Linked DNA regions of Pelodiscus sinensis. The protein of the gene in region 1 interacts with the protein of each later gene in a pairwise test. Links are inferred from orthologs where the notes say so. Each region holds a gene or a part of one and is shown in the gene's direction. Other genes may lie near its edges. The genes, in order: FHL3, FOSL2, SNRPG and CCDC198.

Region 1 (7,747 bases):
TGGCCTGGAGGAGGAGCTATTTCAAAATAGCAGCAGTGGAAAATCCACACCTATTCCAAAATAGCTATTTGGGAAGAGGCATAATTCCTCATGGAATGAGGTTTACAAATGCTGAAATAAGATACATTTGCCTCCATTATCCTAGTTCTATTGTATGTCATGTTTCAGTGTATCTAACATATCAAAATTAGCTGAACGCTTGAAAAGTTATTTCAGAATAATGGGCGTTATTCCAAAACACTGCTAGGCTGTGTCTACACTGGGCCACTTATTCTGGAAAATCAGCCACTTTTCCGGAATAAGCTGCGAGCTGTCTACACTGGCCCTTGAATTTCCGGAAAAGCAACGATGCTCTACTGTACAAAATCAGCCGCTATTCCGGAAAAACTATTCTGCTCCCGCTCGGGCATAAGTCCTTATTCCGGAACACTGTTCCGGAAAAGGGCCAGTGTAGACAGCCCAGTAGTCTACATTGGCCACAGACGCTTTTCCGGAAAAAGGGCTTTTCCAGAAAAGCAGCCTGCCAATGTAGACGCTCCTGTTCCGGAAAAACTGAAAATGGAATAGTATTCCGTTTTAAGCATTTCCGGAAATTTATGCTAGTGTAGACACAGCCCTACTGTGTAGACGTGCCCTAAGGTGCCACTGGACTATTCGTTGTTTCTAACTTACTGAGAACTTAAGTCCATTGAAAGACTTTGCTTTTATCTTATAAGACCGTTGGATCTTACAAATTGTATGGTACATTTTGTTCTTTTGATGTTAAGTGCAAGATATCCTGCCGGCAGGAATCTTCTTCATTCTGGTCTGGATTTTAAGCAAGGATCCCAGTTCTATGAGCTAGTTAGGATAGGCCCCAAAGAACACAAGATGAGTGGGCAAAAGTGGCTGGTAAGCCCCTAATATTAAAATGCTTTTGTGACACATCCTCAGAGGATGTAAATCACAATAGCTCTATTTTAAGTCAATGGAGGTATATCAGTTCAGAGCCTCCGAGGATCTGCCCATTGCATGTTAAAAAAGAAAAATCCCATATTCAAGTAAAATTCACATTGTGCAACGACCGCCTGGCCTTTATGTCATGCACAAGATGAACAAAATGCACTAATTCATTCTTTTGTCTGCGTTTACATGTCAGAAATGGGTGATAGACAAAACCTTTGGAACATAAATTAATATGCGATTGACCTAATTAATTTAGAAAAAGGTAGAAAACTAAGATTTTGTAGAAAAATCTAATTTAATTAGATTTGTACAGGGCAGCTAGCAGCAAAAGAAAACTGCTGCATATGGTTGCCAAGTCTCCTAGAAAGGACGGACAAGATACCATTTGCAGCAATGCTGTCCGGTCCACCTAAGTTGGCAGTCCTCCTGTTGTAGGTCTTTGTGAACTGACTGGTGTGCTAAGGGCTAGAAATAATAGGCAGAGGAATGACCCTTCTGAAGCAAAATCCCACAGTCTATCCAGATCTATTAGATAACCAGCAAAGCTTTTACAAGAGACCCATTTGTTCTTAGATGCTCCTGTTCACTGTAAAGGAGCTGAAGAAACAGTCTGGCCACAAAGCACTCAAGACCCACAGCAATTCAGCAAATCAAAGAGAAACACAAAGATAACTGATGCATCTGACAAAGTGGGTCTTTGCCCACAAAAGCTTATGCTCCAATACATCTGTTAGTCTATAAGGTGCCACAGGACTCCTTGTCGCTTTTGCAGATCCAGACTAACACCGCTACCCCTCTGATACTTGAAAGATAACTGAGGAACTGTAACCAAGGAGGAAGTGGCTAGATGCTTCTTGTATTTACATTGTTAAAATGATTTACAAAAATTCCCATTTTTCAACTGTGGCACTCCGTGATTCCTGGCTTGATGAGCACAAGCAGCTCCCAGCAGGTGGTGCCGCAGGGCAAGCGATAGAGGCGATGGATTGAGAAGTTTTCAAATTCCCTTTAAGGGAAAGGATTTGGTGCGGGAAAAGTTTCACAAGGCTCATTCCCTTTCCAGAAGCCACTAGCTGCTGCCAAGATTTCCCCAAAGTACAGCAGCTAGTATATCTCTCTGATGACCCTCAGAAAGAGAACACTGAGCAGAGCAGCTCCAACTGAAAACTACTGCTACTGTGACATTTTATTATATGTTGTTTGCAGGTTTGTTTCTAGCCATATTGGTCCCTGGAAATTAGAAAAACAAAGTTGGGGATGCAATATCTCTTATTGGGCCAACTTCTGCTGGTGAAAAAAGACAAGCTTTCAAGTGACACAGAGCTCTTCATATTTTCTTTGCATATAAAGTTTAAACTGAACTTAAATTAATTCCCTGGTTCATCTACCATTTTTATATCTGCCTTCCTCCCTTACACAACTCTAGGTTGAACTTTCTTCCTATTTTAAGCAAAACCATTGGGTATTAAACTGAACTGATTCCAAAACAAGCTGAGAGTTTGGGTCTTTAATCACTGTCTGTATGTAAAAACAAAACTTAAAGAATAAAAAGAGACCTTATCCATTCCTTGTCTCTTAAGGAGAGAGTGCTACTGTACAGCAGGTACACTATGTACATGTCCACTTTCTCCAGAGCTGTAAATTAAATGGACATGTTTTGTAAGGCATATTGGAAAACAAGTATGGTAAAAATTGATTACAAAAATTAAGAGTGAATGAACTCATGAATAAGGATCCTAATGTAACTTAAATTCCTCCTGTGGTCTTAGAGAGAGAGGTGGTTTTCTGGCCTATTGCAGAACTGAATTTCTCTGGAAGATAAATTGGAATATTTTCATAACTGTTTTTGTCCATGCTTTGCAAATAATTCCAGCTAAGCCTCAGCTATTACTCACCCAGGGCTATTTATGCAGTGTGGTAAGCCTATCTACTTGGCTTGGAGCAGAGACTACTTTAGGGAAATATTATCAAAGGCTGTGAAAGAACACAATATTACCAACCTCACACACAAACCATAGCCACGGGGAACACTATGAAATCCAAATGTAGCTGTTTTGAGTATCTCACAAGGAATGGCAGGGTAATCTTCCCACACACATTACTCTCTGCCTGTCCATTTCTACACTTTTACATGCTCACCTTTTGCAATGGTATCTGCAGGGTTTCATCTAAGCTCTGCTCAGCTGGTCCCCCTCAAAAAATCAAAAAGGGCAGAGGCTACCTAGCCCATTCCATATCACTAGGATGACTTCCCAAAACATGGCCAGTACACACTGGGAACTAAGACAAAGATGTGAACTGGAGGGTTGGGGGGGGGGGGGGGAGAAAACTGAGCACAATGAGATGGTAACAACTTTCATAGAATACTAGAACTAGAAGGGTCTTTGAGAGGTCATCAAGTCCAGTCCCCTGCCTTCATGGCAGGACCAAGCACCATCTAGATCATCCCTGACAGATGTTTATCCAACCTGCTCTAAAATATCTCCAGTGATGAAGATTCCATAACCTGCTTAGGCAATTTATTTCAGTATTAAACCACCCTCACAGTTAGGAAGTTTTTCCTAATGTCCAACCTAAACCTCCCCTGCTGCAGTTTAAGCCTATTGCTTCTTGTCCTATCGACAGAGGCCCAGGAGAACAATTCCTCATCCCCCTCCTCCCTGTGACACCCTTTTAGTTACCTGAAAACTACTATCATGTCCTCTCTCAGTCTTCTGTTTTCCAAACTAAACAAGCCCAATCCTTCAGGTTTGCTTCATAACTCATGTTTTCTAGACAGACCTTTAATCATTTTTGTTGCTTTTCTCTGGACCTCTCCAATGTCTCCACATCTTTGTTGAAATGTGGTGCACAGAACTGGACACAATACTCCACTTGAGACTTAATTAGCACAAAGTAGAGCAGAAGAATAGCATCTCATATTTTGCTCACAGCACTCCTGTTACTGCAGCCCAGAATCATGTTTTGTTTTTTACAGCAGCATCACACTGTTGACTCATATTTAGCTTGTGGTCCACTATGTGGCTGCCCCCTAAATCCAGAGATTCACTCACTCCTGAGCTGTGGGCAGATTCAAACCTTGGCCTACAGGTGACATGGGCTCAGCCCTAATCCCTGCAGGCCCTAGTTTACGGAGGCTGCTTAGGGTGTATTTACACTGCGCCCGGAGCTTGAAATAAGCTATGTCATTTGAGCTACGCAAATTGCACCGCTTATTTCGAGTCAATGTTGACTTAACGCTTTTTTTCTCACCGAAATTTGGCGCTGCCTACACCGCACTTATTTTGAAATAAAAGGCTCTTCCGAAACGTCCCTTATGCCTCGTGGAATGAGATTTACAGGGACGGCAGTAGAGCGAACCCGTTATATTTCGAAATAACGGGCGCGCTCAAAAGACGCGGGATAAGCTATTTCGGGATGCCCGAAAAATTGCGCTGCAGTGTAGACCGGGCCTTAGAGGAGTTCAGGAATCGGGGAGGAAAGCCGTGGGTTTGATCCAGGTCTGGAATGATCCAGGGCCAGAGGTATCTGCGCATCAGCGCCTTGTGGGCGTTATTTAGTCTGTCCCTAAGTCTGCCAGTCCTTACGGTGCTGGGGGAGAGGGTCTCCAGGGTTAGGCACGCTCTTGTGCCAGTGAATACCCCCGGGACTTTGCATGCCCAGTACCTCCCCCCCAGCCCGTTCCCTGCCTCGCTCCCCCCCAGCACCCTGCCTAGTGCCTTCCCCCAGCGCCGGCCTCGCCCCCTCCGGGCCCTGCACCCCCCTCCCAGCCACAGCAGCTCCGCCCCGCGGGCGGGGCAGGGGCCGGGCTCAGTTTCCCCCGGCGGGGCTGGGCTGGCCCCTTCCGCTGCCAGCGCCTGTCCAGCCGCGCGGCGGGTGAGGAGCAGCCAGCGAGCCCGGCTCGACTCGGCCCGGAGCGTGCGGAGCAGGTGGGGGCGCCCCTGGGGAAAGGGGTTCACCTGGGGGTGGGGAGGGGTCTTTGGGGAGACGGCCCCCCCCCAGCTGCGGAGCCCGGCCCGGGCTGGAAGTCGGGGTGTCGCCTCCCCGATGGGCAGGCTCCTTCCAGCTCCCGTGCCCAGCCGCCAGCTGTCCGGGGCAGGACGGTCCTGGTGCCACCCCACGCGCTATCCACAAGGGGCTGCTGCCCCCTTGCTGGAGCTGAGCCCTCTGCGCTCTCGTGGGAAGGTGCAGGGCACCGGGGGGTACCGCTGCCTTGTGCAGATCTGTGCCCTGATGTGCTGTCTGGGGCCATGGGCAGCAGAGGCAGCGAGCGGCAGGGTCCTGGGGGCGAGGGTTTTGGGAGCATGGGCAAGGTCTGGAAAAGTCCACTCACGCTTCTGTATCTCCCCGGAATATTCCTCATCACCCAGTGATGCTTTTGCTGTCTTGTAAACACCTCAGGAAAGGGTCCGTGCCTCCTGATGAATTGTATAGAACTAGGGGCGCTCACTGAAGATAGAGACAGTCCCCTTCCTTGCAAAATATTTGGGCCAGGAGCAAAATACAGGAGCAGGACATTGGTGTGCTAGTGCCCTTCTTCCAGCTCTGTAAATTGGGCACCGGCAACAAAAAAAGGGGAACTCCTATCTCGGTATGTGTGTCTTCACAGTGCGGGGGGTGGGGGAGTAGGCAGTCTTTCTGACTTACAGAAATGCTTCCTCTTTGTTTTGGGATGCTAGGAAGAGGCATTTTTTCTTTGTTCATCCTTTACTCTGCCTAGTGGAGTTCAAATCGCATGTAGAAGGTGGTAGGACTTGCAAAAGAATATTCACCAGTTGAAAGTAGGAAACTTTCCCTTCCCCGTATATGTGGGGGGGGGGGGGAGGAGGTGTTGGAGGGGGCTAACTCATCAGCTTCTGCAGAATCTAAATTGTCATTGTGTTAAAAAGTTCCTCCTCCTTTTAGCAGTGAAGAAAACTCTGTAAATGTGAGTCTTGTGTCAGACAGCTACAGTGTTCCATAGCTGCTGCTTTATCTTGGACTAAGCTTTTAGAGCAATTAACAAGACTCGAGACAGTTTTTCAGAACTGTGATCAAGGGTGAACTCCAGTTGGCAGTTTAAATTGGGGAAGCAGCAGGGGAGAAGGATCACAAAAACCAGGCGCTGAGGGAGGGGTAGAATATCAGAGGGCCTCTCTTCTATTACTCAGCTGCCAGAGGTGAGCAGGGAAAGATGGGGAGTTGGTTTCAAATGTATCAAATCCATAATAGCCAAATGCTGATACAAAGCACCTTGGTAAGAATCTCTGCACTCTTTTCTTTCCTAGCAGTTGGTAAAGGGAACTTAAAGCTCATCACCTGATAAACCGTCTTGTTAGTCTTTAAAGTGCTACATAGTCCTGTGTTTTGTTTCATCTCTTCCCAGGCTTTGTTTGCACTGCAGGGTTTTTGTGCAAGAAGCTTTTCGCGGAAGAGATCTTCTGCCAAAACTTCTTGCGCAAAAGTGTGTCCACACCTCAAAAGCGCATCGCAAAAGCGATGTGGTTTTGCACAAGAGAGCATCCACACTGCATGGATGCTCTTGCGCAATAAAGCTCCGATGATCAGTCACAGAATGGCCATCAGAGCGCCCGTGCTTTTTCTGATAGGCTCTTTTGGTGCAAGAAACCCCTGCAGAGCATACACATGTGCCTTTTTGTGCAAGAGCTGTAGTGCAAAAAGGAGTTCTGCCTTGAGGGGAGAGGAATAACTCTACCTTGCTTGAGGTGTGGACACTCCACCATTTTTTGCACAAAAATGGCCAGTTTTGCGCCAAAACCTTGTAGTGTAGATATAGCCCCTCTGTTTCCATACTAGCTTCTGGTTAGTACATGTCTACTTAACAACTTCAAGCTCTGTGTTTGGAGCATATTTCACAAGAGGGCTCTGAGGGTAATTTTAACTGTTGCAGAATTTCACTCACATCCATTCCAGAGCAGTGAGTGTTGGTTTATTTCCTGTTACCCACATGTTTAATGCTACTGACTCTGGTTTTGCTCTTTCAAAGTGTTTTCACGTGATTTTAAAGTTTTTTTTATTTTTATTCTTTCACATTTTTGCAAAACGGATGATTACCTGTGACACTTTCCTTCTTGGAGTTTGAATGACTTCAGGGAAATGTAACCAGGGATGAATTTGGCCCCAAATGTCTAATCCGTTAATTATAATCTGTGTTTCTATCCAAGGGTAAGTTCTCAGTTAATTATTCACTTTTTATGAATTGTAATCGTGGCACTGCCCAGCCCTAGCAGAAAAAGATTGGAAAGGAAAATCCTTTTAAGGTGAGTTCCCAGTGTAATTTTCTTAAAGAGAAAGTGTAAATTAAGGGCCAGCGGGGTCACAATGCTTTCATTTTGCAATAAAAGGAAGATGACTACAGTGTGGACATCTGGATTTGTTTTTTGAAATGTCCAAGAAGCTTTGTGGCATTTTCTGAAAGAAATATGAGAAAGGGGAGTATTGTGCCTGCTCTAGTGGAATTGTGCTGGTTAAAGTCCTGAGCCTTAAACTTCATCTTTAATGGAAACAGTCCTGAAACAAGACAACAGACTCAAAAGCTAAACGTAAACCAAATGCTTAAACTGAGTTACTTTGAGAAAGTGTTTGTAGGAGAGGAGGGGGTGGTATTTTGCACGCATCCAGATGGCTCAGTGAAATCAAGACGCTTTGGCTTGCCTAAGACTGGTTATTTTGAGGCCTCAGTTATTTGGCTTTCTAAAATTCACCTGGCCGTTTCTTTTAAACAAAGACAACAGAGAGTTTGCCGCTTTAAGCAACAGATCAGTATCTATTCAAAACATTGTTTTAATAAAAAACATTTAAT
Region 2 (7,108 bases), on another chromosome or scaffold:
AACCATCTTGTTAGTCTTTCAAGTGCTACATAGTCCTATTTCTTGTTTCAGCTACACCAGACTAACACAGCTACATTTCTATCACTATTGTCCCTCAGGTTTGAGATCAGGAGAGAAACCAGTGGAAGCCAGCTAGCTCAACTCCCCACCTGAAGGGCTGGCACTCTGCAGGGCATTGGAAAGTATCTTCTACAGGTCTGGCAAAGTAGGGTGTAGGTGGCATTCCTTTTCCTCACCCGTCAGGCTCCCTGAATGCATTTTTTCCCTCCTCACAGTAGTAGTGGGGAGCAGAGGGGCCAAAATGGACCCGATATCTTGTTGTTATGATATAATAATCTTTGACTTTAATGGCCCTGCTAAATATTAACAAGACCACCAGCTGGACTTCTGAAACATTCAGGAACATGGGGTTTGTTATCCTAGGTCAGAGCACTGATCCAAGGGATCTGGGATCCTGTGTCCAGTTTCTCTATAGCAGCCCAATAGGAAACATTTCAGTACTCCAAGAGAGATGACCAAACCAAAGGAAACTTTTGCAGACATTTTTATTTCAGTATATCAGTGTGTCTCTCTCTGATCATCTCATAACAACTACAGGCTAATTTTTCTCACATCCTGATCTAATTCTCTTTCTGCTGGTGAAGATCAAGCATGTGTAGCTCATCTGTTTGACGTACAATCAAAAGGGGAAAGGACGTCACAATCTCACAGTGCCTATTAACGCAACTCTCCCTTCCGCCTCCTTACTCCTAATGCAATGCAAATTGGAGGCAGTGGTTTATTTTTGTAGCATTAGCCCCACCTCCTCTAAAGTTAGACGCTGCATGAAACAGACCAGCTAATTTGGACCAAGAATTTCAATTGCTTGGAAAATGAAGGTGCTAAAAACCAAACAATATCAGCAGGAGTTTTTGCTTCTAAACATCTGACTTGTCAGGTACTAAAAAGTATCTAATTGATGTGCTGTCTCTTTTCAGACTTCCAAAGATGAGCTAAAATTCTTTGTTAGTGCTTCCTGGAGAAAGTAAAGACAAAGCGAAGAAAAGACTATCACTCTTTGAGTGTTTTGTAGAAAAATGAGCATAATGGGATTTTAGTTTGAATTTAGAAGTCATCTTCCTTAACAGTTAAGGAGATATGCTGTATACATCCTCTAAGAGGATTAAGAAAATATACACATTTAATTTTGAACATCAACATTTTATTGGTCACTAAATTAGTATGATTGTTGTATTTCCATTTACTTGAATGGGTTATAGTCTTTTAGTGGATTTACTTAATCTTCAGTCCTATACTCTACAAGAGTCAGCATATCTGTTCAGTAGACTGTCTGACATGCCTGGCCATAGTCTGATCTTGACATCTTCCCTTCTAGGATGATTATTAATATAATAGCAGTCTAGGGAATTGTCTGGCATGGTGAATTAGTAATAGGCTGTAATCCTTTTCACCCCCTGGTTGCCAGTTTGACTCCAGCCCAGATTAGTAGTCATTTACCGTCACCATCTGAGGTTTGCTTGGGAGCCTAAATGAGTTGGTGGTTTTCAGGCCAGTTCCTAATGGAATTGTGCCCACATCATAAAAATCATCACCACCGTTGACACCACAACGTGCAGCCATGACAATTTAAGCAAATGGATTTCAGCCAGCGACAGAATGGGCCTTGCAGACCAAACTTCTCTCCCCCTTGGAGGCCATTCCTGGAGGAGGGGGAAGGAATATCTTTGAAGGAGTGTGCTATTACATATACATCCTGTGACAAAACTTTATTATTTTTACAAATCACATATAGGTCCCTAAATAATCTTATAGTCTGATTCAGGCAAATACAAAATAGACCATAGTGCGAAAAGTACACATGCAGACAAAAAAAAAAAAATGTTGAGGCAAAAGGGTTAAAGGAGACAGTCAAAACCTGTTGAAATTTTTCATACCCTACATTATCACAGTTTCATAGGATCTGTGAAAGAGTAAAGGTTTTAAGAGAGATTTGAAGAAGGAGACAGCTCTTGGAAGAGACTATTACAACAGAAGGGAGAAAAAATACATGAAGGTGAGAGCAGCAGGAGGAAACAAAGGGAGCATTAAGGAGAGGCTTGGGCAGAGCATATGCAGCTTGGAAGGATTATGGGAGGAAAGCAGGAGGAGCAAAGCTGTGCAGAGCCTGGAAAAGGTAACAAGGTTGGCATCAGCTCGGTGCAGCAGAAGATGACCATGTTAGCTGCAGCAATATGAACATGGGTAGAGAGTGAAAAGAAGGCTCCTTATTGTGAATCCTGACACCCTTCAGAGTACTAGTCATCTGAAAATTTATTTTTTTCCATGTTCCACTCCTTACCACTTCCTCCAGGCTTTAGTGATTTGTTTAGAAAGCTTTAGGAAAAAGTCCTTCCATTGCAGAAACCAAAGTACTCAATACAATGTCACATGCAGGAAACTGTGGGATTTAGTCATATCTAAAGATAATAGGGTCACAAGTGTTTCTATATTTACTATCACAGCTATGAAGGGAAATGCTGATTTGCAGGTTCCTATTCAGACACACCATGTGCTGTGATGACCTGTACTTGCCAAGTCTGGCATACAACCAAGGGTGGTGGTTCTACCTGGGGGGGAACACTGTAATTGCTGGTGTGCTGCACAGTGTATTCAAACAGTGATATTAACCTATTTAGAAACAGAGATGTGTTATAGAGCTCTTTTTAGCTTAAAGCACTTTACAAAAAATAATTAAGCCACACTCCACCTCTGTGCAATGGTATTGGGACATCCACTTTACTGATGGGTAACCTGAGGCATAGAGACATAAGTAAGAGCCTAATTCCCAATCACCTGCTCAAAGCACATGACAATTCTGTTCTCATCCATCCCAACACTAAGTCACAGAATCTCCATTAAACTAAAGAACTCTCAAAAGGCATTGACTGATGCAATTGCTGGAACAAGTCCTGTCCTATTCTGGTATGTACTCTGGGGAGGTTGCATTGTATGGCTTGACCTTGGTCTGCCCTCCCCTTCCTTGCCTCATCTCTGGTACTCAGTCCAGACCATTGGGATTCCATGCATTTGTTTCATCATCAGCTGCTGAAAAGCAAGTGGCTGAAACTCACTGTGTACTCACTATTAAGCTTCTAAATGCACTCTCCTCAATTTAAAGAACAGGGAATGCTGGTTATGGGTATCTATATATTTTATGAGTTGGGTTTCTGTTGACCATCTCTCTTCCATTTTAAAGAACATTATCATTTCTTGTTAGTGTTCCACACCCTTTGTTTTGCTAATGAGATACTAAAAACATTTCATAAGAAAAAAACGTGGTTACAAGGAAATCATGCAAAGGAGGACATAATAAATGTCTGATTTTTGTACCATGGGTAGAGCGTTGCTGGGTGGTGTCGCTTAACTGTAACCTTTGTCCTGAGCTGTTACATGTGGTTTGTTTCCTTGATGTACTCAACCTCACTGGGCTGGGTTGTGGTTTGCATGTTTTAGGAGCCAACGATAGAGGCCTGAACTGATAGGAGACATTTCCTTGGTGCTCAGTTTGCACAGGAAGGAGGCCACAAAAATGCCAAATATATCTCCTTCTCCCTTTTCTGGATGCTCCTCAGTAATCTCTCTCACTGGAGATTTTTTTTTCAAGAGCCCTCTGAAGACCTAGCACTTTGCCTGTGGAATTCTCCAGCTGATCTGTCGTTTCAAAGACATTTCCGAGGGGAAAATTGCCCCCCTGCACAGGCACCCCCTATAATTACTCAGTTGGAAACACTGGAGTTGATCTTTGTTCATCCCGCCTCTCTTCCCTGCAGCTCCCTCCCGAGGAGCTGTCATCACCGCAGCTACAGGCTGCAGCTGCTAACGCAAAAGGCTTGTGCCGGCCGTTGCATCAGCAAGCAGCCCAGATTCCATGATGCTCTGGAGAGGCTGGGGTTATCCAGCAGCCGCTTTACTGGAAGCCGCGGGAGCAGAGGGAGAGTGTGACGCTGCGTGCTGGACTCAGCGCCGCCCGGCTCAGCCGCCAGCCAGCGCGCCCCTCCCAGGCATTACTGGAAGGGGCGGCCCCTCCGCAGCAGGGCGGAACGTGTGTTTCTGCGGCCACTTGGCGGGGGAACAAGGAGACAAACATGCTTTGGTGTCCGGGCGGGGAGAGGCGCAGCCGGTTCTGCTCGTATCCCCCCCTCCTGGCGCGGTTGGGTCGCTCCGCGGGAGGACTTGGCTGCAGCCAGCTGGGCCGAGGGGGGAGTGCTGGGAAGGGCGGCCCCTGTTCCGAGTTCCCACTCTCTCCCCCTTCCGCACGTACCGCTCTGCCTTCCCCCCAGCAGCCCTGTGTGTTTACTCGCGCTGGTGGGAAGGGCTTGAGTAAACAAAGCGTGGAGAGCGCCTTTTCCAGGGCAAGGGCAGCGCCTCCCCGGCGTGCGCACGGCGGTTTTACTCGTGACCAGCAGCTACCTTTGGCGGTAGAGCCCCGCAGGCGGAGGAGAGCAGCGTTAGGGTCCGAGCCCTAGGAGGGCGAGGAAACAAATCCGCCTCTAGCGCAGCCGAGCCCCCTACAAAACGAGGTGCCGGGTGTTGCGTCCGCCAGAGAAACGCCTGCACGGGAGCGCGGACTTTCCTCGCCGCTCCTGCTCCAGGCAGCGTGTCCTGCCCAGAGAAGAGCAGCGAGGGGAAGCCGTGCCAAAGCGCACCGCACGCAGGGCCTCGCAGCCAGCCGCCGGAGCGCGCTCTCCCTCCCCTCCTCGGCAAGGACACCGCTGGAGCCAGTGGCACGCACACACACACGCTTCAGCGCCCGCCCAAGGACACTCGGGTCCGATTGCGCACGGACCGGCTCCCCTCCCTCTCCCCACGCAAGGACAACGCTGGATCCAGTGCACACACGCACCCCACCCCCCTTTCCAGCACGGGGGCAGCTGCGGATCCAGCCCCCGTTTTGGCACGGCCGGGCGGCAAGCGAATGCTGCTTCCCCGCGTCTCCCCTGCTCCGATCCGGTTCCCCTTTAAGCGGGGCCGATCTGGCGCGAGCGAGTAGGGAATCCCTTTCGGGCCGCGTCATCCTAACCAAGGAAACCCGCGCTGGCGTCGTGCAACGCAAATGACCATCTTTGGCAACGTGCGCCAATGGACGAGACTAAAGGCCGCCGCGGAGTGGGGGGAGTGGGTGGGCTCTGACAGTAACAAAGCAGGCGCGCTTGGGCCCAGGGTGCTCCCCCCGCTGCACAGGGGATGGTCTCTCCCCGCGGGGCTCTGAGATTGGTTTGCAGGCAGTGGGCTGGGTTCGGCCAAATCAGATTCTGTGGGCGGGGTGAATTTCCCCCTCCCCCTGCCAGGTGGGCGACTCCCTCTGGTAAGGTGGGGCTTGGCGAGCTGGGAGTTTGACGTGTGTGACTCCACATGGTACAGCTCTCCGAGGAGGGGATGGATAATAGGAGTGTGGAGTTGAACTAATGCCATTGCACTGACTCATCCAGGGAGAGTAAAGGAGCTCAGAGAACAAGATACCAGGAGAGACTCAGGCAGAGAGAAAGAGGGGGGCAGGCGACACGGGGGGAGAAGAGAGACTCACGCGCGGGCAGAGAAGGGCAGGTAACAACTGTAAAGATCAATAATTAAAAGAGCTTAACAAAAATCAAGAGGCTAAAATCCTGGACTGACTCATCCAGTCCGGCTAGAGCAGGGACCTGGCACTTTTATACAAGACTTAATTAAATAAGCAAAAAAGCCTCTTGATTGAAAACTACAGAGTCAGAGAAGCTTCAAAACCAGAACAAATATTCACAGGAAGTTTGAAGAGGGGAGCAGAGACAAGTTTTAAGCGTGTGTGTTTAGGTCTTTCCCCTCCCTTTTTTTTTCTTCAGAGCAAATGTAATAGATTTTTAAGACTTTTTTTAAAGAGACATCTAATTATACTTTTTGCGGGAAATTTTAAATCCACGGCTTTTATTTTTTTTTTCTGAACGCACCGAAAACCTCAGATTAAAGAGACTGCCTCTGTTCTGTGAAGTGGGAAATATTTTTCGCCAGTCTTGAGTGAAGGAAAAAGTTGAGGAAAGGGCTTTATTTTTAACTATTTAAAAACAACAAATCCTTACGTGCAGCTAGAAGGCAGAAAATAAATTTAAAAAAAATCAGGCGAGAGAGGCGGAGAAATAGAGCGTGCGTGTGTGTGTGAGAGAGAGAGAGAGAGAAGGAAAGAACATCGTGTTTCTCTCCGGCTTCTACCTCGGATCATGTACCAGGACTATCCCGGGAACTTTGATACCTCCTCCAGGGGCAGCAGCGGTTCCCCAGGCCACGCAGAGACTTACTCCAGCGGGACAGCACAACAGGTAGGGGTGGTCACATGCACCTTGCCATACAACTGACATGATCAAGCTTCTCTTTTCCCTTCAGTGCAACTTTCTTTCTGATCGCAACGGAGCACCCTCTGCTGTGGGAGCCAAGGACCGTAGGTAACACAGTTCTACCTTCCACTTTGGGCACCGAGTTTTACTTTCAAACCAGGTCTCTCTCCTCTTCAGCAGAATAAAATACTATAGTGTGGTTGTGTGCGAAATCTGTGTGTAACATCCGTGTGACATTATTGTGCTTTTTGTGGGCCATCTTCCTGTACTAACTTTTTAAAAAATCGCCTTAACTAGATAGTAAAGTTCACTCGCCACACCCAGTCCACTTTGTGAGAGCCTTTATCAGACTTCTGCCTAGTTGGAGATTAGGGGAATAATAGGTACTGCCTATCCTTTGGCACTCCCGAGTCCATTTCGAGTCCACGCCTTAAATGGAGGGGGAAAGCAACTTCTGTCTTTGCAAGAGTTTGGGCGTTTTGGTGTGAGTGTAAATAATGAGGAATCTAATCTACGGATTTACATGACGCCAGGTTAGGAGAGCGAGGCAACTTTTAATCGCCTGTGCGGCTAAGTGTGGGGAGTTTGCGCGTGTTTGCGAGTTGCTTTCGACTTCTTGAAATTCCCGTCTCCGCGCAGACATCCAGTTGCTGCCAGCGGGGGTCTGTGCTGACACGCACACCCTCCTCTTGCCGCGACCATTCCTGCGGGGTCAGTCACACCGCGGCTTTTGCTGTCCTCTGCTGGAGTTAATTTGGGACTGAACG
Region 3 (7,053 bases), on another chromosome or scaffold:
TCCAGGCTCATTAGGAAGCACAGGGTTTGAAAGCGCAGGACACCAGAAAGGAGAACCTCCTGCAAAGAGAACGTGCCTTTTTAGGGTAGATTTTCCAGTGTGAAAGGGGCAAGTCTGAAAGCGAGCAGGCTGGAGGAGTAGCTACACACACACCGCCACCCCCTAGGGTTTGATATTTGGAGGGGAGCCTAAACAAAATGAGTTTGGAGTAGGGAGGTTAAATTTAATTTAATCCACTAATTGACTAGTTGGTAGATTTTTCCATCGACTAGTCAATTGATCAATAAGCAGGGGAGCCGCAGTGGGGTTAGTTCCTGCTGCGGCTCTGCCTTTTAAATGTATGAAGAGCCACCAGGCTGTGCTGACTCTGGGTCTCCCCCCGGCTGCATACCAGCCATAATGTAAAAAGGCAGGAGCGCAGCGGGGGGACCCAGCGCGAGCTGGGAATCAGCCATCCTGGCTCGCACACAATGGTGTTTCTGATTTTTAAACTTAAGAGCCCGTAGGCTCATAATACATTTAAAAATCAGAGGCGCAGCGTCTGGGACTGGACGCAAACTGGGAATCAGCTGATTCCCGGCTTGCACGTGGTCCCCGCTACCCTCCTGCTTTCCCTGCCCCCTGTGGAGACGGTGCTGCGGGGAACCGGCTCCTGCTGTTCCCCCTTGCTGCCTCGCATAGTCAACTAGTCACTTACATCCCTAGTTTGGAGGTCTCATTGCAAATGATGAGAGAAACTTCCAGATTGCAGCTGGTTTCATTCTTCTTCCAACCATTCCCTCCATTATAAATAATTTTGTTCTGTGTTCTCCAACACATGATGTCCACCTCTTAGATAGCAGGTTAAGAGCTCATTTTTCCCATGTCTGCACTTCCTCCCAATACACTTTCCACTTGCTCCCAGCCATTTGAACCTCTAAGTGTCTGGAATTCTCATTTGCAGGACCGCTTGGCTCGCTGCACAATGCACTGTAACGACAAGGCCAAAGACTCCCTGGATTCAGGGAGCAAGGAGCAGCAGGTGAAACAGCAGCTGGAGAGCTGCGTGACGAAGTGCGTGGACGACCACATGCATCTCATCCCCAGCATGACCAAGAAAATGAAGGAGACTTTGGCAGCTATTACACAATAAATCTGAGTTTGTTTTGGGGGAGAGAGGGAGAAGCATAGCTTCTATTAAGAGAGAGACGTGTACACGGAGATTCGTGTTGGAAATTGAAGCATGAAAATGGATGATAAGGGTGATTTTTGTATTTTCAAAGTATTGCAGTGGTCCATTCAACAGCTGGTTTGAAGTGTTGGTGTCTCGGGTTGATTTGAGAAGTGTCACCAGGTGTGGAGAGGACAGAGTAGTGACTTTGCTCCAGTCCTCAAAGGGTTAATGGTTAGTGTATGTATAGACCATGCTGCTAATAGCAGGATCCTCTATTACTTGATAGTACCTTGACTTACTTTGGTTGTAGTGAATTTAGGGCTGCTGGAAGGCACCTCCAGCTGGACAGGCCTGGAGTGTGAGGGACCTTTGTCCCTGGGACAGGTGCAAACTTCTCCATTGCTGCCTAACTAATATGCCTCAATAGTTCCCTGCAAGTGTTAAGAGTCAGATATAAACTGGTGTAGTTCCATTAGTGTCAGTGGAGCCATGCCAGTGTAAACGCTCTGAGTATCTGGCTCCAAAAGTCCACTCTCCCGTATTCTTGGTGGTGATGTGATGGGCAGAGGATCTGAAGTATAACTACCACTGGGTTTGATACCCTAGAATTCAAAGGGCCATAATTCTTGCCTCACTTGTTCTCTGGGCTATTGTGATTTAAAAAAAAATGCTTTGGGGACAGGATTTTTCCCTCCTCAACTGCCCTCATATCTGCAGAACTGATTGTCTAGCACTGACAGGTTCCCCCTGTCCTTCTAGTGCAAGTGCCTTTATGTTAAAGGAGACAAGAGGAAGTCAGGGAGACTTTTTTTTTTTTGCACTGGTAGGTCAAGTTTCTGCAGTTAAAACATCTTGGGTCTCTGTTGCCTCTCACACTGGCATAAATCAGAAGTGATTCCAATGGAATAAATGGAGATATGCCTGTGTGTGAACCTAGTGGAGAAAAAGCCCTTTAACTTCACCTGACCTCATCAGGCCACCAATCCCGTCATATATAATTCTACAAAGAGAACAAGGTCAGCCAGCTAAGTGTGGGTTCTCTGAAGCAATGAGTCACAAAGAACATGGCCTATTGAAAAGGAATGGCCAATACTACATAATGCTCCACTCATGCTGATTTTACATCTGTATTACTCCTGATTTGCAGTGGTGTAAGGAACAGCAGCATTCAGCCTGAAGTCTATCATTAAGAATTATAGCAGCTGTATTGTTCCATGCAGTGGGGCATAAATGTGTCGTCGTTTCCCCCCCCCCCCCCCCCCCGAGCCTCTGAAAAACAACCACCGAAGGTTTTAATAGGTGGAATCTCTCCTCCTTTTTGACCTGATAACTTTTTGACTTAACGCGCAGAGAACCTGTCCTTGATTCTCCCTCATGCTGGTATAAATCAGGAGTTTGCTTAAGTAAAGAATTGATAGCAGTGTTCAGTGCACTACCAGATTCTGTGTGTTGTGGTGCAGTCTTAAGGTGGATTTCAGATCTCATTCTTCCTCAAGCTGCAGGGACAGGGAGCAAGACAGAGGAGGTTGGTTTGAATGCTGGGGCAAGGTTAAGCTAGTCATGGATAACCATTAATAGCTGCCTCAGATATGGAGCTACTCGGCTACAGGAGTAGGCAATTCTGAATCTGTGGTCCTCAAGGGAAATGAACACAATACAGAGAGGTAGTCACCACCAAAATAAAAAGGGAAATGACATCCAGAAAACAGCAGCACCACCTGGTCCTGTCCTTGTGGCTGGAGACAATGTAATGAATACCTTAGGATGGTTCTATTTATTGTGAGCTGAGAGTCCTGTTTTGTTCCTTCTCATGAACAACTGTAATTAACACAACCATTTTGTTCTGTCCTTTTAAAAACGGATTTATTTTCTAAAAGTTTGATTCAAAAATAAATTTTAGATGATAACTCCTCTGAGTTCTTTCTTACGACTAGGCTCATCATTATGGCTACACTGCGAGAAGTGCTAAATGTGGATTTTGTGTATTCTACTGTGTTTTCCTACCTTGAGCTCTTCGTTTTGTATTATAGTTGGAGCTAGTATGTGTCTCAAACACTGCTAACATTTAAAACAGCTCTAGTTCCAACTCCCTGCTTTGGAACCAAAGAGCCAACCTTATTATTAATCCTGTTTAGTGCCTAGGGAAGCAATGCCAAATGGTGTGCTAAGGACTGCACAAATGGAATAGTGGCATCCCAACGGAACAGTCCCTGCCTCAAAGAGCTTACCAGCTAAAAAGTCAAGACAGGGAAAGGGGTGGCAGCAAACGTATGGCAGGTTCCTCCTGGATTGAAATCGGATTATTTGTCAGTCACCACTTTCTTGTGTAAATCGGAGCCAGATCCAAACTCCGCACATGTGGCAAACCTACATTTTGCGTCTACACGTTGTTAAACGGGCCGAACCAAAACAGCGGATCCAGCCCCCTGGAACGTGGTCAGGGCAGGTTCCAGCGCCAACGCGAACTGAAAAGCGAACCCAGAGGGTCGCTACATGCAACAAGCGAGGCCGTATTGTCTAGGGGAGCCGCGCATTCACATTTCAATGAGTCCGTATTTAGGCAGCATTGGTAACTCCGCGGCCGACGGGCCCCTGTGTGGAACCGGCTTTGGCATTATCTGCTTCGATCTGGCTCCCGAGCGGCCACTGCTTCCCCGGAAAAAGGAGATTGGGCCTCTATTCTGTGGAGTACGGCGGAGGTGAGCTAGGTGCCCTCCTCCATGAGGCGCTGCTGACGGGGAGAGAGGAAGCGGCACGGCCCGCATTGGCTGTTGGGTCAGTGAGGTCATCCGCAGAAGATGCCGGAGACCATGTTGATTGGCTGGCTGGTCTAGTGATGTCATACGCAGGCGCCCGATTGGCTGTCGGGGTCCCAGCACGCGGCTTCGGCGTCAGCTCTGATTGGTGGCTGTATCCGGGACGCGGTGACGCCAGAGGCTGGGTTCCGCGCGGAGGAGCGGGAGGCGGTTGTGCGGGGCTGACTGAGAGGGCACCATGAGTAAAGCGCACCCGCCCGAGCTGAAGAAGTGAGTGCGGCGGGGCGGGGCGGGGCGGGGCGCAGAGCGGAGATCGCCCCGCCGAGGGAGGGGCGGCTGGTCGAGGGGGGGGTGTAATTCCAGTAGGACCCACCTTAATTGCCTACTCCCCCAGTATCCCGGCATGCACCGCGCTGCCCAGTGAGGCCTGCCCGCGCGGGGTGGGCGAGACCCCTCCCGTGGTGTGCACATGGCTGCGCCCCGCCCCGCGCATGGGCGTAGCGACCCCGCCCGCTCAGTTCCGGGTGCCCCGCCCCCTGCTGAGCCCGGCACTCGGCGCCTCCCCTGGCCATTGGCGCCTGCGCACAAACCACGCGGCTGCCCGGGACCGGCCCATCTGCCGCGTTGTGGGGGGGCTCTGGCACGCCCCCTTGCGGCCCCCTAATGCGCTGCCTCCTTGTGCTTTCAGATTCATGGACAAGAAGCTGTCACGTGAGTTATTTGTGTGCGCGCCTGGATTGGTTGTGAGCAGCCGTCACGCTGCCATTGGATGGGCTGGGAGCAGCACTGTACACGTGGGTTGTTTGCCAATGTGTGTGTGATAGGTATGACACACCACTAAACAGACATGCTATTCTTAGTATTGAAACAATACACGGTGGCGACGGCTAGACTGGCAGGATTTTCCGCAAATGCCTTTAACGGAAAAGTTTTCCGTTAAAATCATTTGCGGAAAAGAGCGTCTAGATTGGCACAGACGCTTTTCTGCAAAAGCACTTTTTGCGCAAAAGCATCCGTGGCCAATGTAGACGCGCTTTTGCGCAAAAGAGCCCCGATTGCCATTTTCGCAATCAGGGCTTTTTTGCGCATAACAAATCTGAGCTGTCTACACTGGCCCTTTTGCGCAAAAGGACTTTTGCCCGCATGGGAGCAGCATAGTATTTCCACAAAAAGCACCGATTTCTTACATGAGATCGTCAGTGTTCTTGTGGAAATTCAAGCAGCCAGTGTAGACAGCTGGCAAGTTTTTCCACAAAAGCAGCTGCTTTTGCGGAAAAACTTGCCAGTCTAGACACAGCCATTATATCTAGTAATAGAGATGTAGCTTGCTGAAACAAAAGACAGGACTATGCAGCAAGAAAATTGGCATGACCATATGTACCAAAGGGATACAATCCAAAAAAGTGCACGCACATAAAATTGACAAATCTGATTTTAGAACAGAGGGCGGGTGAGGGAGGGAGGTTAGTGTCTATGAGATAATGATATTAAAATCTGATTTGTCAATTTTATATGTGTTCACTTTTTTCGATTGTATCCCTTTGGTATATATGGTCATGCCAATTTTCTTCCACAATTTGATCTGAGGAAGTGGGTCTGGCCCCACGAAAGCTCATCACCTAATAAACCATCTTGTTAGTCTTTAAAGTGCTGTATAGTCCTGTCTTTTGTTTCACATTATATCTGTGGATGTTGGGAGGTTAACTGAATCAAAGATGGTTCTCCCACAATGCCATTTACCCCATCAGGTATCCCCCAACACTTTGCACCATTGAGATCAGCTTTGTCATTAGAAAATAGAAAAGATTCAAAGGCAAAATATATTGAGCTGCCTAGGAATGGTAAAATGTGGGTAATTGTGTAACCCCTGAAAAAATTCAGTGGTTATACCCACCCACAACAGCAGTTGGCTCCCTGTGGAACTGACTGCCGCCTCTGTGCTAATAGAAAGGCAGCAGCGCAGGTTGGCAGCCAGCTCCCCAAGAGTAAGGGTGGGGGGCTTGCATGTAACCGTGAATGTTAACCAATAAGCTCAGGCTTATCTGTTAACTGCTTACACAGTTACACCTTCACATCCCTAGTATTGCACTGGTAGTGGTTCTTCATGTACCAGTATTTAGAATGCTGGTATCCAAAATAAAGATGAAGGTGCAGAACAATACGTTAAGAAACTGGTACCTGCTAGTGTGTTGGATTTTAAGCCAGGTCTACACTAGACCTGACTGCTCGGTTTAAGGTACGCAACTCCTGCTACGTAGACTACGTAGCTGGAGTCGGCTTAGCAGCGTCCCAAGTAGCGGGAGGCCAACAGAAGCAAAGGAGGAATACCGGATGCTGGCAGGGACACCCTCTGCTTGATTTAGCAAGTCTTAAAGACTTGCTAAATTGAACTCCAGAAGGTCGATCATGGCAGCAGTCATCTTCCTTTTAATAATGACTCAATGATAAACATAAAGTTTTGTCACTTGTGAAGTCATGTTATAAATAATGGTAGTTGAAATGTGTATCTTTGGAGCACATTTTCTGTATAAAGTGCTGCAAGATTTTTGCTTCCCACAAGAAGGATGTTTTGTCTTTAGACAAGATCTTTGGCTAATATTTCTTGAAAGATTTTAAGACAAAAATGGGTGGGAGAGTAGTCAAAAAATTGGGGTCCACCTGAAATGCTGCTGTGTTATTTTTGGTGGTGTTTTCCAATGCAGTTTTAATAGAATTGTGCATCTGAGTGTACAGTAGGAAAGAATTATCATGGAGCTGAATAATGTGTTTGGGGCCATGATAGGTGGCTGTTGAGTTGCTGTGTTTATCTCTGTTGATTAAAGTAATACACGAATGACAAAAATGGGATTGCAGTGCTCCAAAACATGCAGATATCATTGGTTTCTGATCTCCAGTGATGACAACTATGCCGTTACTTTTGTTTACGGTCTCGAAAGTGGCTGCATACGTAAATACATTTATATGATTTTACATACGCATTTATGACAAGAATGACTAAAAGTATTGTGTAGATCTTCAGTCTCCTTCAGTAATAAGAAATATGGTCTTGTCCAAATGACTGTATCTCTACAAATTCTTGTCATAACTAATGTATTATTCAGGTTGTATTGTGGTAAGGCCTAAGGACCCCAATAATAGGCTGGG
Region 4 (7,576 bases), on another chromosome or scaffold:
AAGTCGATGGGACAACTCCCGGTGCGTAAGCCTTTGCAGGGTTGAAAAGTAGAACAAGCTTCTGAGCCATTGTTTTGACACGTAATATAGGCTATCACACTAGGTATGATCAGGCTATATCAGGGAAATCACTACTTACAGGGTTCAATTGTAGAATTAAGAAACGATTGTAGCTTAAGGAATTGTAGAATTAAGGAAAGGCTATTTACTTGTTACTAGTACATAAGCACTAGGGGTCACCAAATGAAAATAATAGGTAGAAGGCTTAAAACAAACAAAAGGAATGATTTCTTCACGCAACACACAGTCAACCTGTGGCACTCCTTGCCACAGGATGTTGTAAAGACCAAGACTTTAACAGGGTTCAAAAAAGAACTAGATAAATTTATGGAGGTTAGGTCATAGAATCATAGAATTATAGGACTGGAAGGGACCTCGAGAGGTCATCGAGTCCAGCCCCCCACCCTCAAGGCAGGACCAAGCTCTGTCTACACCATCCCTGACAGATGTCTATCTAACCTGTTCTTAAATATCTCCAGAGAGGGAGATTCCACCACCTCCCTTGGCAATTTATTCCAATATTTGACCACCCTGACAGTTAGGAATTTTTTCCTAATGTCCAATCTAAACCTCCCTTGCTGCACTTTAAGCCCATTACTCCTTGTCCTGTCCTCAGAAACCAAGAGGAACAAATTTTCTCCTTCCTCCTTGTGACACCCTTTTAGATATTTGAAAACTGCTATCATGTCCCCCCTTAATCTTCTTTTTTCCAAACTAAACAAGCCCAGTTCATGAAGCCTGGCTTCATAGGTCATGTTCTCTAGACCTTTAATCATTCTTGTCGCTCTTCTCTGTACCCTTTCCAATTTCTCCATATCTTTCTTGAAGCGTGGCGCCCAGAACTGGACACAGTACTCCAGCTGAGGCCTAACTAGGTCCATCACTACTTATTAGCCAGGATGATAGGAATGGTGTCCTCAGCCTCTGTTTTTTAGGGGGTGACAGGAGAGGGATCACTTGATGATTACTTATTCTGTTCATTCCCAATGGGGTACCTGGCATTGGCCATTATTAGAAGACAGGATACTGGGCTAGATGGACCATTGGTCTGCCCCAACATGGCCATTCTTATGTTAAACTTGCTCACTGTAGGTGTCACCAGGAAATTGCCTATATTAAATATTTTATTATATCTAACATAAATTATATACTATAAACACACTCTCTCTCTCTCTCTTTCACACACACACACACACACACACACACACACTTTTGGGCATCATTTTCCAGTTTTTCCACCAACAAAATGAAAAAAATTGCCAAACGCGGTAAAAACAAATCTACTATCAACAAGTTTCCATAACTGATCAGATTTTAAATTTTGTTTTAATCCCTTCATGGTGTTTTTGGTCTTTTGCTCAGAAAGTTTTGCCGTTTTTTTTTACTATCCAGAGCAAACTGGACATTTTTGACCAAGCCTAATAAATATCTAGCCAACTGGGAAAAATATTTGATTCTGTAAATACTTATTCCATTTTCATATCCCACATGTTCCAGACAGGCCATCAAATCCACATATCCAAATAACACATCTTGTGTTATAGCAGTGTCAAAAAACACCCCCAAACTCTATCTTTTTTTCCCCTCTTGTCACCTGGCATCATATCACCAGATACCTCATGCTCTGTATCCACAATTTCCATTCGATTGTGAAGGAACGTCATAAGCAGAGAAAAATACTTTGTGGTATAAACATTAACTTGATGGAGCAGTAAAAGTGGTTTGTGGATGAGTAAGTTCTGCCAAGGAATGTCATTCCTAGCTGATTGCATTACACAGGGCCACTGCACAATGATGGCAGCTCATTAACTGGCCTCCTGCACTCCCCAAACTCCAGACAAATCTGCCAAATCATTACACTGAAAATGGGATAGAATAAAAGGCCAGAATGACAACTAGGGTGGGGTTAGGAACTCAGAACAGTCATATAGGGTAAAATCCTGAACTCCATTGAAATGCGTGGCAAAATTCTCCTGGACTTCACTGGACTTCCCCACACAGAAGAGGGGAAATCAACTAAGACACAGCACAGCGGCAGCTGATGCCTGACCCTGCCACTGACTTCCTATGTAACCATGGTCAAGTCACTGCACCTCTCTGTGCCTGAGTTCCTCATCTGTAAACTGAGGCTGATAAATAATACTCTTTGGTTACACTGGCAATTCTTCTGGGCTGGGCTTCAGTCTTACCCTGTGTTCGTATAGCTCCTGGCACCATGAGGCCATGATTTTGGTTGGGGGTCTTTGTTCTTAAAAAGCCTTTTCAGAAATATTAACTCCCCTCTCAAGCTGAATTTGCTTCCCCACTCTTCATGCCCCTTTTGTGTGCATGAGCCAGGAGTGGTCCCGCTACTGAGTTGTCATTATAAGACCCTTAAGCTCGGTGCTCACCATTCAGGGGCACTAGGCATGGTCTGCAGGGCTTCATACTATCGCCAGTGCTCCTCCTTACAAGACAGGCCTCCGTAGCCTTTTGACTAGGACCCCAGCAGCTGAAGTTTGCTTCTCTTCTCTGGGATGGCATGCATGACATTCCCAAGCCGAAGTAGAAAGCCTTGATCCAGCAAAGCACTGACACAGTTTGGGCCAGAGCTGTTAGGGTATATAGGTGCCTAAAGAGGCAGACACTCACGTAATGGAATTTTCAGATGTGTCTAACTCCCATTGATTGCAATGGGGGTCAGGTATCTAAATGCTTTGGAAATCCCAGTGGGCACCATAGGCAGGTAAGTACCTTTTCACATCTCGCCTTTGTTCCTTGTCAAAGTCCTCTCCCAAGAGAAGAGTTGGCAATAGGGTGACCAGGTAGCTTCAGAAAAAATACCGGACACACTTGATTGGGGGGCAGGAAGGGACTGGCCAGGAGGGGCCTGGAGGAGGGGGGAGGGAACGGGAAGCAGGGTTGGCAGGGAGGCGGGGGCAGGGGGGCTGGGTGGGGGAGATCGAGGGAGCGGCCGGTGGGATGCAGGGCTGCTCGGGGGAGATCAGGGGGGAGTGGGGCTGGCCGGTGGGGGCGGGGGACAGGGAGTGGGACTGACCTGGGCACATGCAGATCCCAGGGCGCTGTCTGTCCCGAGCATGGTCCCGGTGAAGTACGAGCGAGTCTGACTATGGCTCCACAACGCGCTTGAACCACGCTTAGGAGCACGGACAGGGCTTCTCCTCCTCCACCCCTACATCAGACGCAACCAGAGGCTCCAAGTGCCGATCGCGCCCCCGCCTCCCAGCCACTCCCCTCGCCCCCACCAGGCTTCCATCGGGCACCCAGCCGGGAAACCAGGAAATACCAGACATTGCACATGTCCGGTATTTTCTGAATTTTTTACCTGACAGAGGGCCCAAAAACCGGACTGTCCGGTTGAATACCGGACACCTGGCAAGCCCAGTTGGCAAAGAGCTTGATTAGACTCAACCCAGCATATTGGCCTTATTCCAGGTTGAACCTCTGTGGTCTGGAACTCTCTGGTCCGGCAACATCCATGGTCTGGAAGCCAACAGAGGTTGCCAGTGGCTAGGAACTCAGCCCTGCAGCCGTCTCTGGGGACTCTCTACTCTCCTTGGCCAACCTCAAAGTCTTTCCTTAGAGCTACACAAAGAGAGTGACGTCTGCTAATTTAAGTGGGGATTTGTCTGTAATCATGCAAAACCTGCACGGATGCCGAAAAGGAGCTTCGCCTGCCTAAGAATTAGAGAAGTGGTGGGTTAGCACTGTGAGGAGTGGATAGGGTTGCAAGGTGCAGGTGCTTTGTTAGCACCAAGGACACAAAAGTGCGGGTCTTTCCCTTCTGCTGTTCTCCCTTTGGGGCCACATTCTACTCCGGGTTACACGCCTGCAAGTGAATAGAAGTTACGGGGCCGGAAATGCTCTCAGATATACCAGAGTAAAGAAAAGGCAGTTCCTCAAATGTGGCACTTCCCAGGATTTTTTCTTCTTCTTTGGCTGCAGGCTGCAATACCTGACGCCTTCTCTTCCCACTGGTGCTTAAAGGACAAAATTTCCTTGGTGAGACCAATGCTTTTACAAACCAGCTGGCCGGAGAAGCAAAGAGAAACTTCTCAGGCCACTCCCTGGTTAAATGAGCAGCTACCTTTCAGGAAAAGTGTGTAACATTATAAATAGTTATGGGGGAGGGGAAGACTCTGTTATTTGGTGTTTACCTCAGACTTCTCTGAATTAGTTTAATATTCAAGCGCTGCCAGGCTCTCGGTCGGTCCAGGAAGTGGCCAGCCCAGGTCAATGTTTAACGGGGCTTACCAAATCAGGATTCAGGAAGGAAGGGTTTGGGGAGGCATAGCCATGGAAACTGGCCTACCGGACACCCAATCAGCTCTGCATGTGTGTGGTCAGGCAGACCGTGAACGTTGCCGTGGAGGGAACCTGGGAGCTTTACACACAGGCATTGCCTTCAAAGGGAGCCCAAGGCACAGCTCTGTGCAGCGGCCACGTCCAGGAACTCCTTCACCTAGTCTTTTTATGCGTTGAATGCCATAACTCAGCAAAATGGGCCTGAGCTACTCCAGGGCTCATCATAAGGTGACAAAAGTGGCCCCCGTGCAAACCAAAGAGGATGGGCTTCCTTCTCCTTGCACTGCAGCGGTGTGTGGATTTCGGAGCACCCTGGGAGACAGCTGTGCATGTTCATTCGCAGGCCTGGAGGAGAGAAATCCAGTGTTTCCAAGGCAGCTTCCACCCCTAAGAGAAACTCGGTATGGCAGATGCTCCACAGGTAACCTGGTCGTGGATAAGTGACTGCCCTTTCTACAGTGCTCCGACTAGCTGAGTGTTTGTGCTTTGGAGTTTGAATGATCTCTGTTGACCTGGCTCAGCAGCAAATCGTTGCATTTTAATTAAGACAAATGATGGGAATCTGCAGGTTTAGCAAATGCAATTGTGTGAGTGTGTGTGTACATGTTACTTTAGGCATGTGTCTAGTTCTGACATGCCCTGTGGGGGAAAAAATCAGCTTCTTTTAGAAAACTGTCTCAATTATTTATTTACATCTCAAATAGCCCAGCGCATGCAGTCCTTCCTTGTGTGAGTCATCCTTACACACAGAAAGTTGTCCCTGTGTCCTTGACTTCAATCGGACTAGCTGGAGAAGAGTTGCAGGACAGGTTCTAACCATGTATTTCTGTAGCAACCACTTTAATATGTTTCTCTATGTCTCTACTATGTGTGTATGTAGTTATTCGAGCTACACACCACCTGAGTTAAACCCAAAAGAATTATTCACCATTCGGGCAAGCCGATGTAAATCAAAGCAATTATAAGAATAGTATCAAGTTCTCCTTTTCACCAGTACATCTCAATGTTCTTTACAAGAGAAGCTGAGAATCACAGCACAGCTAATTTGGACCAGGGAGGCCCTAGACCAGAGTCTGTTACACACAGGTCTGGAACGGGAAACATTGCTTTAAATAAGCAAGTAATACAAACAATAAGGGAACCACTCCACCCTACCATTTGTATGTAAATACATCTCCTTTGACTTCAATGGGATTATTCAAATGAGTAAACAGATGCAGGATTAGGTCCTACTTTGTACTTAACAGTGAATTTCATTAGCAGTCACTGGTTTAATGTGCTTAGCAGGATTGGAAATTTTCCTCCTTCTATGCTACGTATAGAGCATATGAGAGGAAATGTACCGCTGCCCTGATAGAAGTCACATTTCAGGAACCGAGAGGGTCTAGGGATGAATATAGATTGGCTCTAGATATGCAGCATGACATTTGGAGTGTTTTGTGACAGCCACAGCACTTAAATAAATACTCCAGTTAGCAAAGAGCTAACCATGGGGTATTTAGCAAGTACATTTATGAAAAGTCATCTCTAGAAGTGTCATATTCCATTACATGTGCTGTTTTTGATAATAATAGTGTATCCCATTTGAATGATGAATTAGCTGGAGCCACTGTCTAACCGAACAAATATCTGTTACACAAAATGCTTTATTTTGTTCACAAAGATTCATTTCAGCTTGTGCTAAATTGCACTTTTCAGAGCAAGTGAGGTCTTTAAAAACTCTCAGAGAGGTAGCCGTGTTAGTCTATAACTTTGAAAACAATGAGTAGTCCTGTGGCACTTTAGAGACTTAGAAAAATATATTGGATCATGAGTTTTCATAGGTATAACCCACTTCATCCTAGGCCATCTGATGAAGTTTTACCCACAAAAACTCATGATCATTTACAGGGCTCGACAATTAATGTAATCGACTCACCCATGGTGAGTAGATTTTAGCCCGGTGCGGGCGTGCAGCACGGTCAGCGCATGTGCAGTGTGCGGTTCCGTGCGGCTGGAGAGCGGGGCTCGCCACCATGTGGCGACCCCTGGTCATTTATATCTTTGTTGGTCTCTAAGGTGTCACAGGACTACTTGTTGTTTCTGAGGTATCTTTGCTATTGAAGAGCAAAGGGAAAAAAAGCAGTAGAATTTCTGAAATTTAGGCAGGGGCTTCATTTGATTATTATCTGTATTGCAGTCATGCACAAGGGCCCATCCAAGATCAAGGTGCTGTTGTACTAGAAATTGTGCAGACCTCTGAGGACAGCCCCTGTCCTAAACCGCTTACTCTCCAAATAGACTTTGATTGTAAACTCTCTGGGGAGCAGGGACGTTCTTTTTGTCCTGTGCTTGTACAACACCTAACACAGCGAGGTCCTGATTCCCGACTGGAGCTCCTAGGTGCTACTTAGGCAACAGGGGCTGCACCATGGGGTGGTCAATGCCAGGTGCCCCCAAGGGAATAAACAGACATAAGTCAGATCCACGTAAGTCGGGGACTGCCTGTACATCTCAAGCCAAATAAATTATGAATAATAATGTTGGGAGGGGAAAGAGAACCCTACAAAGGTGAAATGACTTACCCAAGTTCATGCAGCAAGTCAGTTGAGTATCAAAGCTGGAACAGATCTCAGGTCCCCCTGACTCCCTTGCCACTAACTCGAAGGCCATGTCTTCATTAAGTAAAATATCGAAGTTGCCATGATCAATCTTCCGGAGTTCCATTAAGTGGGTCTAGTAAAGGCCCACTAAATCAAACTCAGAGGGTGCCCCCATCGGCAGCCAGTACTCCTGCTCCTGCACAGAGTAAGGGAAGGTGCCAGGAGCATTTGCTCCTGTAAGTCTTCTACTGTGGGGACGGCAGGCAAACTCGAATATATCTCAACTCCAGCTATTTAATTAACATAGCAGGAGTTGCATTTCTTAATTTGACCTTCCCCTTTAGTGTAGATCTGGCCCAAATCCTAGCCCTGAGCTTATGCTGCATTTAATGTTTTAATAATTCACTGTCTTTGCATTTCTATTCCACAATCAGAAATTGTGTAGGCACTAACTAGCCCTATGGATTTAAGAACAGTCATTTTTAAAAAGCAGAGTTTTGCAATCTAAGTTATAAATGGTTTTTTCCCGATAAATGGCAGGTAAACCTTTTCTCTTGCAAACTCAGCTGTTTGGGCCTTTTTCGCTAAAATGTGAATGTATTTAACTCAGCACATGTGTCTGTTTCTGT

Evidence for each region.
Region 2: the proteins of FHL3 (region 1) and FOSL2 interact in binary tests that used the Homo sapiens proteins (3 or more experiments, as listed by UniProt). The two-hybrid records come from large-scale screens. The link is inferred for Pelodiscus sinensis from reciprocal best matches to the Homo sapiens genes FHL3 and FOSL2.
Region 3: the proteins of FHL3 (region 1) and SNRPG interact in binary tests that used the Homo sapiens proteins (3 or more experiments, as listed by UniProt). The two-hybrid records come from large-scale screens. The link is inferred for Pelodiscus sinensis from reciprocal best matches to the Homo sapiens genes FHL3 and SNRPG.
Region 4: the proteins of FHL3 (region 1) and CCDC198 interact in binary tests that used the Homo sapiens proteins (3 or more experiments, as listed by UniProt). The two-hybrid records come from large-scale screens. The link is inferred for Pelodiscus sinensis from reciprocal best matches to the Homo sapiens genes FHL3 and CCDC198.

Annotation. Positions count from the first base shown.
Region 1 is NC_134735.1:10,806,840-10,814,586, reverse strand, and holds the start of FHL3 (four and a half LIM domains protein 3), read left to right. Parts: upstream 1-4,736; 5' UTR 4,737-4,874; intron 4,875-7,747. UniProt on the Homo sapiens protein: Recruited by SOX15 to FOXK1 promoters where it acts as a transcriptional coactivator of FOXK1.
Region 2 is NC_134713.1:160,978,211-160,985,318, reverse strand, and holds the start of FOSL2 (fos-related antigen 2), read left to right. Parts: upstream 1-4,102; 5' UTR 4,103-6,227; coding exon 6,228-6,326; exon of another isoform or gene 6,327-6,449; intron 6,450-6,467; exon of another isoform or gene 6,468-6,874; intron 6,875-7,108.
Region 3 is NC_134738.1:2,090,506-2,097,558, forward strand, and holds the start of SNRPG (small nuclear ribonucleoprotein G), read left to right. Parts: upstream 1-4,044; 5' UTR 4,045-4,147; coding exon 4,148-4,179; intron 4,180-4,597; coding exon 4,598-4,620; exon of another isoform or gene 4,621-4,678; coding exon of another isoform or gene 4,679-4,733; intron 4,734-7,053. Other genes in the region: protein FAM136A, read left to right, coding at 944-1,132. UniProt on the Homo sapiens protein: Plays a role in pre-mRNA splicing as a core component of the spliceosomal U1, U2, U4 and U5 small nuclear ribonucleoproteins (snRNPs), the building blocks of the spliceosome.
Region 4 is NC_134714.1:10,904,023-10,911,598, reverse strand, and holds the start of CCDC198 (factor associated with metabolism and energy), read left to right. Parts: upstream 1-4,560; coding exon 4,561-4,786; intron 4,787-7,576. UniProt on the Homo sapiens protein: May be involved in tuning the metabolism, energy expenditure, and excretion processes.